2 linked regions of the Neurospora crassa OR74A genome follow. The protein of the gene in region 1 interacts with the protein of each later gene in a biochemical or structural test. Links are inferred from orthologs where the notes say so. Each region holds a gene or a part of one and is shown in the gene's direction. Other genes may lie near its edges.

Region 1 (8,070 bases):
GAAGAGCTGTACTTTGAGTCGGATGCGGATGCTGCCCAATTTATCCTCGACTACCAGGGCCAGGATCTATTGGAGGATCGCGAGGGAACTGTTATGTTCCTGACCGGAAAAGCTAAAGAGCTGTTCGAGGGTCCGAGGAAGGCAGCATTTTCCAGGGTTGACATTAAAGGTCAAATCTAACAGCACTGAGTCCTTATTTCCTATCGTCGCCGCACCCGCCCACATCGTTCCCAACTCTTTCAAGACATGAGCACCGGCTGTCGACCTCACGTTTCTACTTCATCTCCGCCTTCGTAGTTTCTCACCTCGGTCACCGGGATCTGCACCCTTGCGTCGTCATGCAGTAGTTTGATATTATTGATAGCACGCCCTTCGTCGACCTATGTCGCTGTCCTACCCCACGACATTTGCGACCTGGGCTTCTATCGCCAACACCTCATGGGGGATTTCGGCGATAGAGAATACCGACGGGTTTTCTATCTCCGTTTCTTCGTTGTCAATTCCGATGTTACTCCCTGAATAGTAACGTGGAATGCGTTAGAGGAAGCCCACGTCATGCCTTGTGGAGCTCTTACACTGACGAAAACCACTTCTTCCCCCGAGTCGTCTCACGACCTCACGATCCGCCAGGTTGCCACTTGCAACGCAGTCCGACTTACCTTTTCAGCTAGTTCCTTCAGGACAGGCGCAGATCCTGTTCTTCAATGTCATTTGCCAGCATCAGGTCAACCTAATTGACCTCAAACGTGGTTGAGGCGTGCAGTATTCGAATCTGCCTACTCTACTCAAAAATGGAGACGTAATATCCACCGTTTTCGGAACCCATTCTCGGTGGACAGGATGATAGATGGCGTCTTCGCACATCGACCCCCTTCTTTCCCGATCAATGTGTCTTGCCGGAGGATCTCGACGTGTCGGCTCACGGGGTCTCTTGTTTTAGCAAGCATTAGGGTCATGCGGAGGTGACCTTTGGCGACGTGGAAGCAGCAGCATTAGTTGCTATGGTGCTGTAGTGGCACCCTGCTCTCCTTCTATGCGTCCTTACAGGCACCGCTCTCTTATTCAACAATTTTTCAGTATCCCTTGCGTTCCGGTGTCGGCATCTTTGGGTGGTGGTTTGGGTCAGCGAGCATAGGGTTTTGGCGTCTCGGGGTGTCAAAACTGCTTGCATTTGTCCCTTGTCTTTTTTTCTTTGTTCCTTCTTCATGCTAGTACAGGTAACTCAGGTGTTTGGCGTTAAGGGAACAATGCTAAGAGCAGGGAGGTTGAGTGGGCATGTCTTACAGTTAGCAAAATAAGAACGTACTTAGTGAGCTCCAGCACACAACACAGTCATATTGTGCGCCGTCGATATCGATGCCATCCTTGTTGTCTTTTGAGTCAGAGTACGGGGAGCCGGAGGCCAACACAATCGGCCGCGCATCATAATCAATGGTGGAAAAGGGTCGGGTCCTTCGACTTCTGCCCGCATTGCAAGCAGATGTGACGAACCTCCATGCTACGCGTTTGCTTCTTGATGCAGTTGCTAACTTAACCTTGGGTCGAATTGAAGCGGTGGCTGGTGAGGCGAAAGATAGACACCATACCATGTGGAAAAAGGAAAAATACCACGCTGCCTCATTGCTTACAGGTGCGCCAGCGGGCATCCCGGCCCGTCGTGTGCTCCTCGCGTCACATCCCGATTGGTCAAACCTCGTGCATGTACGTAGAAGTCGTGCATCGATAAATGGAAAGAGGGTTGAAACCATTGCCATGGAAAACATGGCAATTGGCGGCTTTTCTTGGGCGTTGTTCATGTCCAATAGAGAGGGTGAAGATGTTGAGTATTCGAAGGACGTCCGTCCACTTGCACTATTCTCGTGTTTATGATTCCCTCTAGGAGCTCGCATATTATTGTTGTGGCCAGAATGAGATGAACATGATACAAAGGCCGAACAGAAACCCCGAAATGACAAAAAGTGAGATTTGTTAAGCAAAAGAATAAGAAAAGAAAGAAAAAACTGGATCGGTTAATGCCCAGATTCCAAAATCGGGAGCTTTGCGGCAGAGCCCTACCAGGCCGTTACAGTGCTGTCTCTATCGAGTCTAGACGCCAATGCTCCTTGTTCGCTGTTGGGTTGGGTTGTTCTGATTAGTCAGGCACAGGCCGCGGAGCTTCATCCGAAATACCCCGAGACCGAGAACCGATATCTACCTAAAATTTGATCGCGATGCTTTTTGCTGCACCAATGAAGGAGATTCGGACTGTGTAGAATGAATCTGCCAAACATAGGTAGATCTGAAAATCCCGAGCTAAGTCGCCATCAGAAGGACATATGTCAGCGTCAATCCAGTGATGCTAGTACTAGGCTTTTTCCTACTAGGGGTTGCTTGTGAACCGTCTTGGAGGCCTTGCATTCTATCGAGTCCCCTTCGGCTTTCAAGTCCACCGACGTTATGATGGAGCCCGATGTCAATGCATTGACAAGGTGTGGGCTTTGAACATCTCATGACGCATCGTATGAGTTGATGCACTAACAGCAGGCATATTCCTGCCTCACAGCATCGACTTGTTGTCGACGACGACGCCTTTCAAGTCACTTGGATGGGTAGTGACGGAACAGACTCGAGAATGAAGCAATCAATCCTTCAGTTGAGGTTGGAGAAGTGAGAAAAAATCCTCAGGTACCGTGTCCATAACACCCTGGTTGTCGACTCGACTCAGCAAACCAACCACAGTTTCCGCTATGACAAGCGCGATCACGATGCATATGCAGTGGCTTCAAAGATATGTACAATATCATGCACACTAGCACGCACACATATCTTAGGCCAGGCAATGACAGCGACAAAGATACCAACGGAGAATACCTGAGGGAGCAGCAATCTTAGCTTTTCAATGGCCTCATTGCGCGCGGCTCATCTTTGATCAGATCGTGTAAGACTAGCAAGCTGGTTGGTTTCAGTTGAGATTTGACGTTGGCCGACTTCTTTCATTCGTTTGTCGCAAAGTTCCTGGTCGTATCGCGGTGGGCACGTCCGGAATCCCAAAGATCGAGAGCGGCCAAGAAACAGTGGAGGTACCTAAGAACGAAAGCCAATTCGAATCCACCACAGCCAGGTCCAGGGAGGGTGGGTCCCTCTGGACGTGAGAACCCTGGCGGCGCTCTCCAATTGCACCAACATGCAGGGCAGCAACTGCGCCAATCAACCAGGCCGGGGTGCCTTCAGGTACCTGCCCGCGCGGCCTCTGCGCTGCTGCAACGCTACAATTCCCCTCTTAAGTCGAGGTCCTTGGCCGTCCATTGTCATGCCGATTGTCATGCGGATGCTAACGGCTAGATAGAGGCAGCCACCCTTTCACGGTCAGGACACGGACATAAACTAGCAGACACTAACAGACACTAGGCGAATAAGCAAGCCTGAGTGGCTGTTTTTCCAACATGTTCCATGCCGTCCGTCTCGGCTAGGCTGGTGACTTGCTTGTGACCTTCATCACACCTACCCGCCCGTCTTCGAGCCATCTCCGGCCACCACCTCCACACCCTGTCGGCTTCCACTCTGCGAGAACACACCTGGACCCGACCCTTGGTGATCACCCTTGCTGCTTCCGTTGCAAGCTTGGCTTTGGGCTGTTGCTATCTCCCTTTTTATTATTTTTTTAATGCTATTGCTGCCCGTCCCGAGGACTAGCACGCAAGGCACGCAGGCCATATATCCCACCTGATCCTGATCCTTCCCCGCCACCGTGCAGTTTCCAGTTTCCATTCCCACCTGCCCGTTCGCTCGCTTCGTTCACTCATCACCAGTTCCAACTCTCGACAACCAACCTTCCTACTGCGACAGTCAAGTCCATCATCGCCGACAACACTCGTCGCAACACCCAACGCAACTCCCGGCGGATTGTCCACCACTACTTAGACATTCTAGAAGCGCTCGCCGGACTGGGACTTGCGCATTGAGCATTGGGTCTAGGCAGTCGGCATTGCGGCTGAACAAAGGAACAAGAGAATTGCATCAACACCACACGCCCACACGCCAGGCGGCCCTGATCAGGCTCAGACAAAGACGGAAAGCCAAGATTGAGGCAAACTCGGCCAGACAGCGAACTTGGGGTCAGCTATCCACTTGGGGAACAGAAGTATTGGGGCGCGACCATTTTACACGAAACGGTCGCCGAAATTAGCTGGACAACCGCTGCTTTCCAAATTACGTCTCCCTTACGTTCGCACGGTCGCAAACACTAGTGCAGCAGATAACGACCCCGTCCGCGATATCCACTCCCGTCATCGCCGCGCTGCTTTCCCGGCTCCCATCCGACCGATACATACGGCACATTTGGATCGTTACACAGATTCCACCTAGCAACACCCTCCACGACACACACACACACACACCACACACACGAGCAGAACCGCCCAGGACCAACCCCAGAGGGATCCTAGGCAAGCCCTCTCGCCGTCCGTCATTTGAGTCGGCGTAACCCCAACCACGATTGCCCGCGCACGCCGACACCAGGACGCCCGCTCCAAAAGTTGTTTGCTGACGCCTCTCACCCCGTCAGCCGTTCCTGTTTCTCTCTGTGTATAGCACAATAGTTCCGGTTTTGGTTTGTGTACACATAGCTTACAAGTCGTCTGAGTATCGCTGTCGGACAAGATGAAGGTACGTCATTCCCCGCTGTTCTGTGCTCTGCCATCCCCTCTCTCTTCCCTTCCCCGTCCCTCCTCCTCTTCAGTCCGATCGTTTTTGCTCGTTCCCCAGGAAACAGCCCTCGTGATTGTATAGCAGAGGCTTCACTGCTATTGGGGACATGAGAGATAGGATCGGGCTACGGCTCAGGTATTCATACACCATCACATAGGCGTTCTTGCCTTGGCCAATTCGTCACGATGCAATACAGCTTGCGTGAACCGGAAGAATCCTTTTTCTTAGTGTCTGCTCCATCTACACCCACAGCACCTCTCGAATTTTCTTGGCCTCGTCGGACTACTCATTTCAATACTGCGGTTTCGTCGTTCTGGCAACTAACAATGTCACGCGGTTTTAAGGCTCTACGAAGGTCCATCAAGGGTGGAGAGAAGGACTCCAAACCTCATATTACTATTCAACCGAAATCTGCCGTCGCCATCGTCCCTCCAAAGAAGGTATGTCTCGTAACAAGGTGTCAGCCACAAGGCGCTTAGGCTAAACTTGTTATCACAGGTTATAAAAGCTCTCTACGATTACGAAGCACAAAATGCACAGGAGCTTAGCTTTTCACGCGGCGATTTCTTCCATGTCATCGGTCGTGAAAATGACCCAGAGTGGTATGAGGCGTGCAACCCTGCGCTACCAGACGCTCGTGGTCTCGTGCCCGTCGCTTATTTCCAGGCCCTTGGACGTACGGAACGCGATAGCGGCCAGTCTCAAACCGGTTCACTGGGTTTGAAGACCGTAGATAGTGATTCTGGATACGGCGAAGGCTCGGCGGCCTCGCCTCCTGGAGCAAACGCCGCGAATCGGATGTCGAAAACGCCTGGCAAGAATGGAGCCATGGTTTATGGTGTCGTTTTGTACGATTTCCAAGCCGAACGGGCAGACGAATTGGAAGCCAAGCAGGGCGAGGCCATCATTGTCATTGCCCAGTCGAACCCCGAATGGTTCGTGGCTAAGCCCATCGGAAGACTTGGCGGCCCGGGTCTGATTCCCGTATCCTTTGTTGAGATCCGGGACATGGCGAGTAACACCCCTGTCCCGAACCCCCATGATGCCATACGAAAAGCTGGGATTCCAAAGGTCGAGGAGTGGAAGAAGATGGCTGCGGAATATAAGAACTCGAGCATAACGCTCGGCAAGTTCGATGTTGGTGGTGGCGGTGGTGGCCAACCACCACTTGACCAGGCCATGAACCGCTTAACTTTGCAAGGAAGCGCCCGGTTGAGCCAGCAGACTACTCATACCCAGGTACGTGTATTCTGTCCACTTACTTTGCGTGCGTGTTTGTACTAACAGGTCTTTGCAGCAACAGATACAGGCTCAAGGACAATCCTATTCGAGGCCAACCTCGACACTATACGCACCCATCGCAGCCAGGGTTCCGAGGTACTGCTTTGCCGAGGACAAGTACTGGTTTGTTATTGAAGCCGAACTGGAGGATGGTCGATGCTTCGAACTTTCGCGATACTACGAGGATTTCTACGACTTCCAAATCGCGCTCCTAACCGAGTTCCCTCTTGAAGCTGGAACTACAGGCGGCAAGCAGCGGACGCTACCCTACATGCCCGGTCCTGTTAATTACGTGACTGATGCGATTACGGAAGGCCGCCGCCACAACCTTGACTCTTACGTTAAAAGTCTACTGGAACAACCGCCACACATCTCCCGCTGTAACCTGGTCAAGCAGTTCTTTTCTCCTAGAGAGGGTGATTACGAAATCGACCCTAGCGTTGCTCGCGAGGAATACCGATTCTCTGGAGGCTCTGGTCCGTCCTCTGACTCACCAGCCGACGGCCTCTCACTACAGAGCACAGCCGGCAACAGATATTCTGCCGGTCTCGGTGTTCCTCAGAGGCAGCTGAGCATTGGCAACGGCCAACAGATTCCGGGACCTGGGCAGGCTTCACAGACCTCATTGTCACCTGCTATTATGCAGGGTGGTTCACAGATGAAAGTGAAACTGCACTTCAACGGCGACATCATCGCCATCCGCGTACCCACTGATATTCCATTCCAAGCTCTCCATGACAAGATTCTGGATCGTCTCAAGATTCCTCAGGGCGAGGACGTTCAGCTAAGTTACAAGGACGACGCGAGTGGCGAGAAGCCTCCTCTGATGAACGACGAAGATCTGGATATTGCACTGCAACGGAACGAAAAGCTGCTCGTTTACGTGGAATAATGGACTGACGGACTTTGAAACCCCAACCCATACACGTTTGTTGGCCATATTCCGATACACAGCGCATTCGGATACCATGGTCACATGCGCCATGTTTCACGAACATTTGATTCGAAGGCAGCAACTGGGTAAACTAAGCGCTCGGCCTTCAAAAGTCACGCCAGATGGCTACATACACAAGCAAGGCGAACAACGTGGAGGGAATTGCTCATTTGCGCACTCAGTTACATACCATCTTTTCTCGTTGACGGCTGCCAACAAACTGCTCTTTATCCAACACACAATGCGATATCTATACCCCACGCTATATACCCAAACGCATACGTAAATCATATAGGACTTCGCGGTTCAGTCGTTGTAATACATTTCGAATTGATCGGCTCGTCTCTCTCCACTCACTAAAATTTCTGGGACGCAGATGGTCATGGGGCATTTTGGATGCGGCAGGGACTTTGGGATACGGTGATATTTTTTTGGAACAGCTCAGGAGTCAGGCCAAAGGAGTCTGTGACCATGGTGAAAAAAAGGAAGGAAGTAGAGTCAGGGGAGGATCTGCGCGCTTGCTGGAAGGCTGCGGTGGGGCCAAGTTGGGAGATGGATTCTTGGTTAGGCGTGGGGGAGGGTGGAAGGATTAAATTTGATACCAAACTACGTTGCTACTCGAGGTCGAAGATGGGTGGTGGATTACCATAAGAAGAGGTGGTGGAGGTGGTAATGGTGGTGCTGAGGGTGATGACAAGGGACAAGAAGAAGAAGAAGGGGCCCTTGTGAATGGATGATGAATGAAATGAATTTACACCCACAGGCTTTTTGTGTTTCAGGATGTTGACCGAGATGGCGGGGGACACGGGGTATCGTTTCTGCAGTGTAGGTGAGATTTGAAGATATCCATGTGCAGTCAAGGTGTTTTTGGTAATAAAAAAATTGGGAGCGAAAGATGACCGGAGAAAAGAGAGTAGTGGTGGTCTACTCGCAGCCAGTAAGTAGCATAAATCTACATTTGAAGATATCGCGACTTCCGATAATTGCATGTGACATCTGCTATACAATGTCATTGGAAGTTGAATAAATGCACAATTACGGCAAATGCCAAGCCCATCGAAAACATACATCGCATTCTTGTTCTGGTAAAGGAAGCAATGGTAACAATGACACTTCCACAACAATCAGTCAAAGTTCGTTACATATTTACAAAGTTGGAAGTAACGAAG
Region 2 (7,955 bases), on another chromosome or scaffold:
CATCCAGTCCCCGAGATAAATTGCCCACGACGACCACAGCATTCGCTAGTCGGCTGCAGTGCTCCGTCATACCGAGCTTCATTGAGACTTGGGCATATCATCCAGACACAGGAAGTTTAGCAGGGTATCGTTGAACAGACCTACTCGGTTGAGCACAGCTTTTCAGCGAAGTGAAGGCTGTGGCATATTGGTTTTCGACCGGTTTCCCAACTTTTACTAACGTTGGTGAGTTGATACACCATTTATTGACCTGAATCGAGTACCACTGCAGCGGGCGGGTGTACGGGGAAGAGAGTGATCGTGAGATTCATGATCCCGTAGTAACGCAATACTGGAAGCCGTTGACGTAGGGAGCCCCAGGTCAGCAACTAGGGAGGGTATCAGCTTGTGCTTTGGGAGTGATGTTCTCTAGGGGTTGCGCAACGCAACACCGGTTGTTGTTGCTAAGTAACTCTGGCCGGCTTGCTTCAGTTGTTGGAGCCTACAGCCACCTGAACGGCAAATGGCTTGTGGACGGCCGCCCTCCTTGTGGTCCAGCATATCCATGCCAAACCCCCAGGAGAGACCAAGCTGATGCTCTTTGCGCTGATAATATCATCAACTAGTCCAAAGCGGTAACTTCTCAATGTCACTCCAACATGTCAACCTGTTTAACCCAATGCCGGCTGTACACTACTGCGTAAATGTATGCCAGGAATAGCAATCGCTTTGGTATGATATGCATCTATTTGCCTCGTACCTGGCAGCTTTGACACCACCATTCAGAGATAGGTTGCATTCCGATTCGGTACCGTAAGCTGGCAGGTACAAGTGGTTCGTCATTCGGGGAATCATCTCCAGGAGTAATACCCTATCCCAAGCCCGGCCAACGGCTCCAATGCCTGGCTTCCGTCTTGGATGGCAAAGTCAAGGTCAATGTCAGGAGAACCCAATACCTTTTTTTTTTTTTTTTTTTTATTTTCATATGGATGCTTTTCTCCTGACAACAGCAAGAAGGCTTGATGGTGGACCTTGTAGATCTTACAAACTCTTAGCTTTGTTCACAGTGCTGTCACTCGAGTAGCCTCGGGCTGTCTGGTCTGCAAGATAATATTGGTCCTGGAACTGAGACCGAGAGATGTTGACGCACGGGCCATGAGATGACAACACCCGATGTTCGTCGACAAAAAGTTGCCCGCCGCCGCCGCCGCTGGCGTGTTTGTATGTATACAACATCGGATGGTGAAGCCTTTATAAAAGGAGAATCGCCGATAAACGGTGGTATAGGTTGATTGGCTAGTTGGTAGAACTGGAGGTGTGACACGTTGAGAGATGGCGTCGGAAGGTTGTTGTCCATCGGAGCACGAAGGAAGGGCAAAGGAGCAAGATACGAGCTGCGACGTAACCTATTAACCTGTGCTGTGCCAGGTCGTAGCTGATGTGTGAGAGCTTCGTAGAAAGTACACAAGTGAAATGGCTGAAGAGAGAGAGTCCGATAGACGTCGCAGTCCGACCGACATCGGGATATTGACATGGCGAACATGCTCGGTATTCGTGGATCGTGAGTTATGCCGGATCTTTGCTTCCAGGGTATCCCGTCCAGTCAGAGAGGGGTTTATTGATCGCCAAGGGATCCTATTTTTTTCCTTTGCATGAGACAACAAAAGAGGCGAGAGCGTCTGATGATTATTTGGTTGAAGGTGGCAGAAACAGAAGACGTAAAGTTAGCAATTTGGGAGAAAAAGAAAACAGCGATTGGCGAACGGTGGTCTGGACTTCAATGTCGGCCATTGGAAACCCTGACTTCTCGCCTAAATACCCTGGTTCGACTGAATGACATATAGAGCATGGGTCACTGCATAATGAAAGGTCGCAGGTGAGGCCGCTTGGCCGTTGAGGATGGTCGAACGGTGGGTGTTTGGAGTTAAGTTAAGGGAAGTTGAAGCGGCCGGCGAGCCCCTCACTCTCTTGCATAACCTACTAGGTATATGCTCCAGGTGCGGGACCGGCCAGGTGAGCACAACTGGAGAGGGAAGAAAGCTCTCGCCGCTGTACACTTGGGTTTCGGCAGGACATGGTTAGCCCTTCCTCTTTCGGGTCCAGATATCCACCAACCCCGCGAACTTGTGTGTGTGTGTACCTGACGAGCAATAGATGGGCATCAACACCTAGCAATTTGCTTTATCATGTGCCATTCAATGGTTTGCAACGAAGTTGAATAGGTATCAATCGAGGGGCAATAAACACCATGCTGCAGCATTGACAGGCACTTACAGCGAGTGGAGGTAGGGAGCTGATGCGCAACTAAAGTCCCAACTGATATGTAACCATTTCAGGCCAATTGGAGCAAAGCCTCCACCTGGACGGGAGCCATAAATTCGGATTGTCAATCGCGAAGACAGTTGATGGCTTCATGGCCAGCCAAAGAAATGGGAAAGCAACGAAACGACACAGTATTTCCGTCCGAGACATGGACGGGCTGTCATGCGCCCGCCGTCTCTTGCAGCAAGATATGTCGCTTGGCCATGTCCACGGTACGGACCGTCGACCAAGTATGTATCCGTCATCCGGACAGCAGTCACCACTCCGTCACCTTAACTGCATGGGCGCCTATCCAGACAATGTCTCGTCTGTCCGTTTGGTTCCGCTTCACGGTTCTTTTGTTGGCGTGGCTGTCGTGTATCCCCAGAGTTGGGCTGGACGCCACCGTCGAGTTGACCATAGTGGCCATTGCTCCGGCAGGTCCCCGGCGGTTACTGAACAGCATATCATGACTGGAGGCAGACAGACACTCGGCGGCTTTGCGGAAGTACAAGTGCCGATGATGGAGGTGGATAAAGAGGAGTTATGATGGACACGATGGGTAATCTGGTCGCCCCGGACTTTCTTTTGCCTTTCGTGTTCTCTTTTATTTTTGAGATATCAAACCCATTCCATCTCAGGTCTGGACTCTATACAAACACGCTGAGCTCGCATATGGCATATTGGAGTCACTAAACACCCCCGTCTTATCAACGCAACGTCTCGTGATATCCTTCACAAAGGCAGTGGCCGGGATCCTCGACATCAACCCTAGCTGGTTTGATCGGGACATCTGGGACCCAGCAACGCGCACGCGAGGCTCGGCCCTGTAACCGGGGCGCTGGTTCCTCATCAGCCGGTGGGCTTGAACTCATCTAGGCCTTTTTGGCTTCTGAAGCCATCCCGGACTAGACTCCACCGGGTACCACTTTGGGCACCACCACGGCACCACAAGCGGCGGACGAGACCCTCACGACCCTTCTGACCCGTTTAGGCTTCTCGCCTTTCTGTTGGAACCATCGATGCTTAATTATTTGCTTGCGCCCAGCTGGAAAGCAACGGTTCAGCACGCCCTTCCAGCCCATCCATTCCCGCCCTTCCCCGGCGCTTTGGCCCCCAACCCCTCCTCGAAAGAGATAGGTACTTCACAGGCTGTATACTTTACCCCCCAAACTCCCGGAGGCGCTTGTTGCTTCGTGTTGTGCTCTGCTCAGTTTTAAACAGTTCATGTGGGTGGATTGTTGGGACGGAACCGAGAAGTCACAGTCACGTTAACGACGCGCGAGAACAACCTTGTGTAGAGGGGGCCAGCCGCCAATTCAGTCGAAGTGAAAAAAGAGCCCTGCGAAATTGGGAGGCCCAAAATTTTCTAAAGCGGTCCAGAATCCCGACTCGGAGCGATTCCCCTCAGGTCGTTGCTACGTACCTACCGATACCGATACCCTTTCCCAGAAGGCGAGAACGGACTCGAGACTCATCCTTCTTTCGCTTTCAAAATCGCTTGCTGGGAGAAATTTACCTTCACGTAAAGGTGGCCCCCATCCTTCTCGGTTTACGGTCCGGATTGTTCCCGGTGGACTGCTGCATGGTGTGACGGCCGAGCGGGCATATCGTCGCATCCGCCAATATAGCGCCCCGCGAATAGCTAGAGCTATTTGGAGCGAGCTGGCTAGGCTTTGACCTCTTTTTCGTCTGATCTGCAAAAGTTGGAGATTCCGGCGAGCCGATCCCAAACACTGAAGCAAAAAAATAACACGGCGCGCAGCAAAAGGGGGCAGCATATCAGATCAAAGTCGCCCATCCCAAAAGCGACGACGACAACCACCCCGATATCTACCGCACACGCAAACGCATTCGCATCTTCGAAACGGGCAGAGTGTGACGGGCCAGGACGCGTGTATTGGCTTTTACTCTGCCCTTCAGTTCGTATAAGCCCTGGCCAGCTGTCTGAGGTGGACTCCTCCCGTTGACCATGATGCGCACTTACGGATTCCAGCCTTGGTGAGCACCCACTCTCTTATATTACATCAGTGTTTGATGGGCCTCCATCTTCAGACGCCCCCTCGTATTTCTATTCTAGAGCACAGCCTACCTTACACATCAATGGGGCCACAGCAGTGCTCATCAGACGTCCTGTCACTCCCTAACCTCTTTGCTCTGATGCTGATTCGTCCTATAGCCGCGAATTCCACATCGTTGTCCTAGGTACCGGTATGTTGTGCTCCACCCTGCTCTTTCACCTGACTTTTCGCTGTGAACCCCATCGTGGAAAAAAAAAATCAAAAAATCAAGAAAATCACACAAAAAAAAACACACACAAACCCCCTATGCCAAGACATGCGCATCACATGCTACAACTGCTGACTTTGATGGCTTACTTAAGGAGGTGTCGGCAAGAGTTGCTTAACTGGTATGTTGTGTGCCCCCAAAGTCTAAACCCGATTCAACCACACCTGCATGATGACCCCTGTCACCTGTGTGGACAAGACAACGGAACACTATACTGAACATGTTGTGAACAACAGCACAATTTGTACACAATGAATGGATTGAAAGCTATGATCCAACCATTGAGGACTCGTATAGGACACAGGTGGCTGTCGATGTAAGTCTTAACTTTTCTATTCTATTAATTGAATGTTTATGTTCCAGACTTGCTAACGAGGACCTCCAGGGACGACAAGTGATACTGGAAATGTGAGACCTTCCTCATTTACACTTCACCCTCACTGACACTTCACTTTTTGACCGGGTAATGCTAACATGTAGCTCATCAGCCTCGACACGGCCGGTACAGAACAGTTCGGTGAGTAACAGAACCGCCCTGGGTCAACTAACACCCTCCAACTTGAAACTTGCCTCGCTAACACTTTGGGCAAAAGTTGCTATGCGAGACCTGTACATGAAGGCCGGCCAAGGATTCCTGTTAGTCTTCAGTATAACCTCGCAAGCCTCGCTAGACGAGCTCGCCACGCTTCGGGAAGAGATCATACGCATCAAAGATGACGAGAACATCCCCATCGTCATGGTGGGCAACAAGGCCGACCTGCTAGACCAACGAGCCGTCGATCGCGCAAAGGCCTTTACCATTTCTCAGCAGTGGAATGCGCCTTATTATGAGGCTAGTGCTAGGACGAGGAGTATGTTGTTCATGTCCCTATTCAAAAAGAGAAAGATTAGGTACTGACACTTCCAAAAAGCAAACGTTGACGAAGTCTTCATCGACCTCTGCCGCCAAATGCTCCGAAGAGACGATAGCGGCCAACTAGATGACGACGATGGCGCACGCAATGGTAGCGGGTACGGCTACGGCCAAGGGAAACAGGAGGATGGTCATGGGCCCATGAAGAAGAAGCGGAGGAGAAAGAGGAAGGGCGATCACAAGTGCATAATCATGTGAAGCAAACTGAACGCCTTTTACATAACACCTTAGTGCCTCACAGCGTTAATAAGATGATGGTCTCGGGATTGAGGAACTCTTTTTTTTTTTTTTTTTTTTTTTTTTTTTTTTTTTTTTTTTGGCTTGTCTTGAATCCAGGTTTCGAGGCCTCCGACTCAAAATTAGTGTGGGGAAAGAGAGAAGCTCCAACTGCGGCCCGGCGGGATGAGGGGAAATTCGGGTTACGGACGAGTTGGACGGAAAGAACTTAAGGATATTTTGATTTGAAGACGTTTTGGGAAGGCTCGATAAGAACAGTCAAGGCAGGAGCGGAAGGTGCCGAGGATATCAGGACGGCCTAAAGGACCGGCTCTTGACTTTTTTCAGATCTCGAGATCTTATCAGCTCGAATCCCCGCCTCCATTTTCCAACTGAACCTGGAAGCTGCCGAGGGTAACTGGTCGCATCTATCAACCCGAGCCGTTTTCATTGTTTGCTTTCATCGTTCAGGTCACGGTTATTTCCTTTTTCCTTCTTTTTGACATTTGCATTGGAGGTTGTCTGACGTTTTGAGCCGCCTTCGTTTCTTTCCTTGTATTTTCTTGTTCCGCCATCATTAGGGAGGGCAAATTGGTGTTCACCTCCTGCATTCCCTGGTTACGATACCCTCACATCTGATCGATGTCTTTCATGTGCTTATTTACTTGTTAAAAAATATGGAAGAATAAATCCCCAGACGGGATACATTCGAACACGGCTGTTGGTAGAACAATGAAAACAATTAGCTACTTGGATTCTATTACTATCTGCTAGCCGTCAGCGGCTTCCATTCCTCATATATCCTCGTTCCTACTTTCATTTTTCATGTTCAACCAGCTGATGTGTCCCTGGCTATCATGCGTTCACTCGCACAGCCTTCGTATCCCGTAGCGAAGTTCCAGCCATGGTATCATATCCAAACCCGAAACCAAAACCAACTATTCCAGTTCTCTTTTGTTGTTCCTCAACATCCAGCTTCGTTTCTGTATATCCTCATCAGGCATCCATCCATCACGCCGTCCCCTTCAGGCCCTGTCTACCGCCCTGTTCTCCCCATCCACCATGGTAGGCGTACTTGCATCTGTATCCTCCGCGTTCCCGTTTTGATTTTGTGCCTCAGCCATCGCCATCTTACTGTCCAAAGCCCCATCACGTTGCTGTTCCACAGCATCAGCAGCAGAATTACTGACATCCTGCTTTTCCAAGTCCCTTTGCTCAATCTCCACTTCACCCTCCTCCTCTTCCCTCTTCTTGTCCTTCCTCGCCCAAAACTTCAACCTCCCCAAATCCAAATCCCTCTCTGCCCACTTCCAACTCTCTCCCCGCTTCTCATACTCGCCCAACAAATCGTCAAAAGTCTTGCCGTCCTTTTTGAGTTGCTTCCTTATGCTTCTCGTCCTCACCAGCCAAATCAAGTGCGACGCAAAGATGCCTAGCTCGAGGAAGGCGCAAATGATGTAGAGCACACCACCCAGGACGTCAAACGTATTTTGCGTCACTACGGCCATGAGGGAGAAGAAGGCTCCTGACCAGTCCATCGACAGAAAGATCCAGTTGATGCCGACGACTCGACCGTGCCGCTTGTACATTTCTCCGTAGGGAGGCAGGAGGCCGGCGGCGAGGAGGATGGCGGCTATGATGCCGATAACTCGGACGGGGGTTTCGTTGCCTTCTTCGTAAAGGGGCTTTTGCGTTTTGTTTTAGTCATTTTCGGTTTTTGAATAGGAGGATAAAGGAAGGGAAGGGAAAGGAATAACTCACCCGTAGTGTCAAGATCAGGGCAGCCTCAACACCGGCAAACACGCAAGCTACAATCAAGGCTAGGAGAGTAGCTTTCCAGGTTGGCCATTTTCTGTTTGTGCCTTGTCAGTATCTGTCTCCATCTCACCAACTTAACGCCAACATCACAGAAGGAAGATCGGAAGAGAAAAAGACTTACGATCCATATATCAAAATCTGCGCCCAACCAACTAAACAAAGCGTCATGAATGCCTGTGGCTGCACCTGGATGGGTACATTAAAGTTCTGGGCTATCGCGTACACCCCGAACGGAACGCCGCACAGCGCCCAGAGGAACATCATGGTTCCCGGGAGGCCGGTTGTGCTTTTGGTGCGGTAGTTGGTCCATATTTGTGGGATGAGCTGGACACACCAGAAGCTGGAGAAAATGTGGCATGGTTAGTCAGTTACGAACTGTTCCGGATGAAAAGATAGGTAGAACGGAGGTTTGGTTTCTGGGGGAGGCTTACACAGTTCC

What was found. The genes of interacting proteins can lie anywhere in the genome.
Region 2: the proteins of NCU06593 (region 1) and krev-1 form a complex in vitro, tested with the Saccharomyces cerevisiae proteins (2 studies listed by BioGRID). The link is inferred for Neurospora crassa OR74A from reciprocal best matches to the Saccharomyces cerevisiae genes BEM1 and RSR1.

What each region holds. Positions count from the first base shown.
Region 1 is NC_026504.1:1,740,626-1,748,695, reverse strand, and holds NCU06593 (MAP kinase activator), read left to right. Parts: upstream 1-3,405; 5' UTR 3,406-4,638; coding exon 4,639-4,644; intron 4,645-5,030; coding exon 5,031-5,126; intron 5,127-5,184; coding exon 5,185-5,925; intron 5,926-5,983; coding exon 5,984-6,859; 3' UTR 6,860-7,864; downstream 7,865-8,070. Other genes in the region: NCU06594 (GANP domain-containing protein), read left to right, coding at 1-180.
Region 2 is NC_026501.1:1,019,998-1,027,952, reverse strand, and holds krev-1 (krev-1), read left to right. Parts: upstream 1-2,975; 5' UTR 2,976-4,252; coding exon 4,253-4,281; intron 4,282-4,459; coding exon 4,460-4,491; intron 4,492-4,663; coding exon 4,664-4,690; intron 4,691-4,805; coding exon 4,806-4,885; intron 4,886-4,954; coding exon 4,955-4,977; intron 4,978-5,057; coding exon 5,058-5,086; intron 5,087-5,162; coding exon 5,163-5,420; intron 5,421-5,480; coding exon 5,481-5,680; 3' UTR 5,681-5,758; downstream 5,759-7,955. Other genes in the region: NCU02168 (PQ loop repeat protein), read right to left, coding at 6,724-7,383, 7,460-7,550, 7,638-7,856, 7,948-7,955. UniProt on the Saccharomyces cerevisiae protein: Ras-related protein which binds GDP/GTP and possesses intrinsic GTPase activity. Involved in development of cell polarity during the cell division cycle, and essential for bud emergence.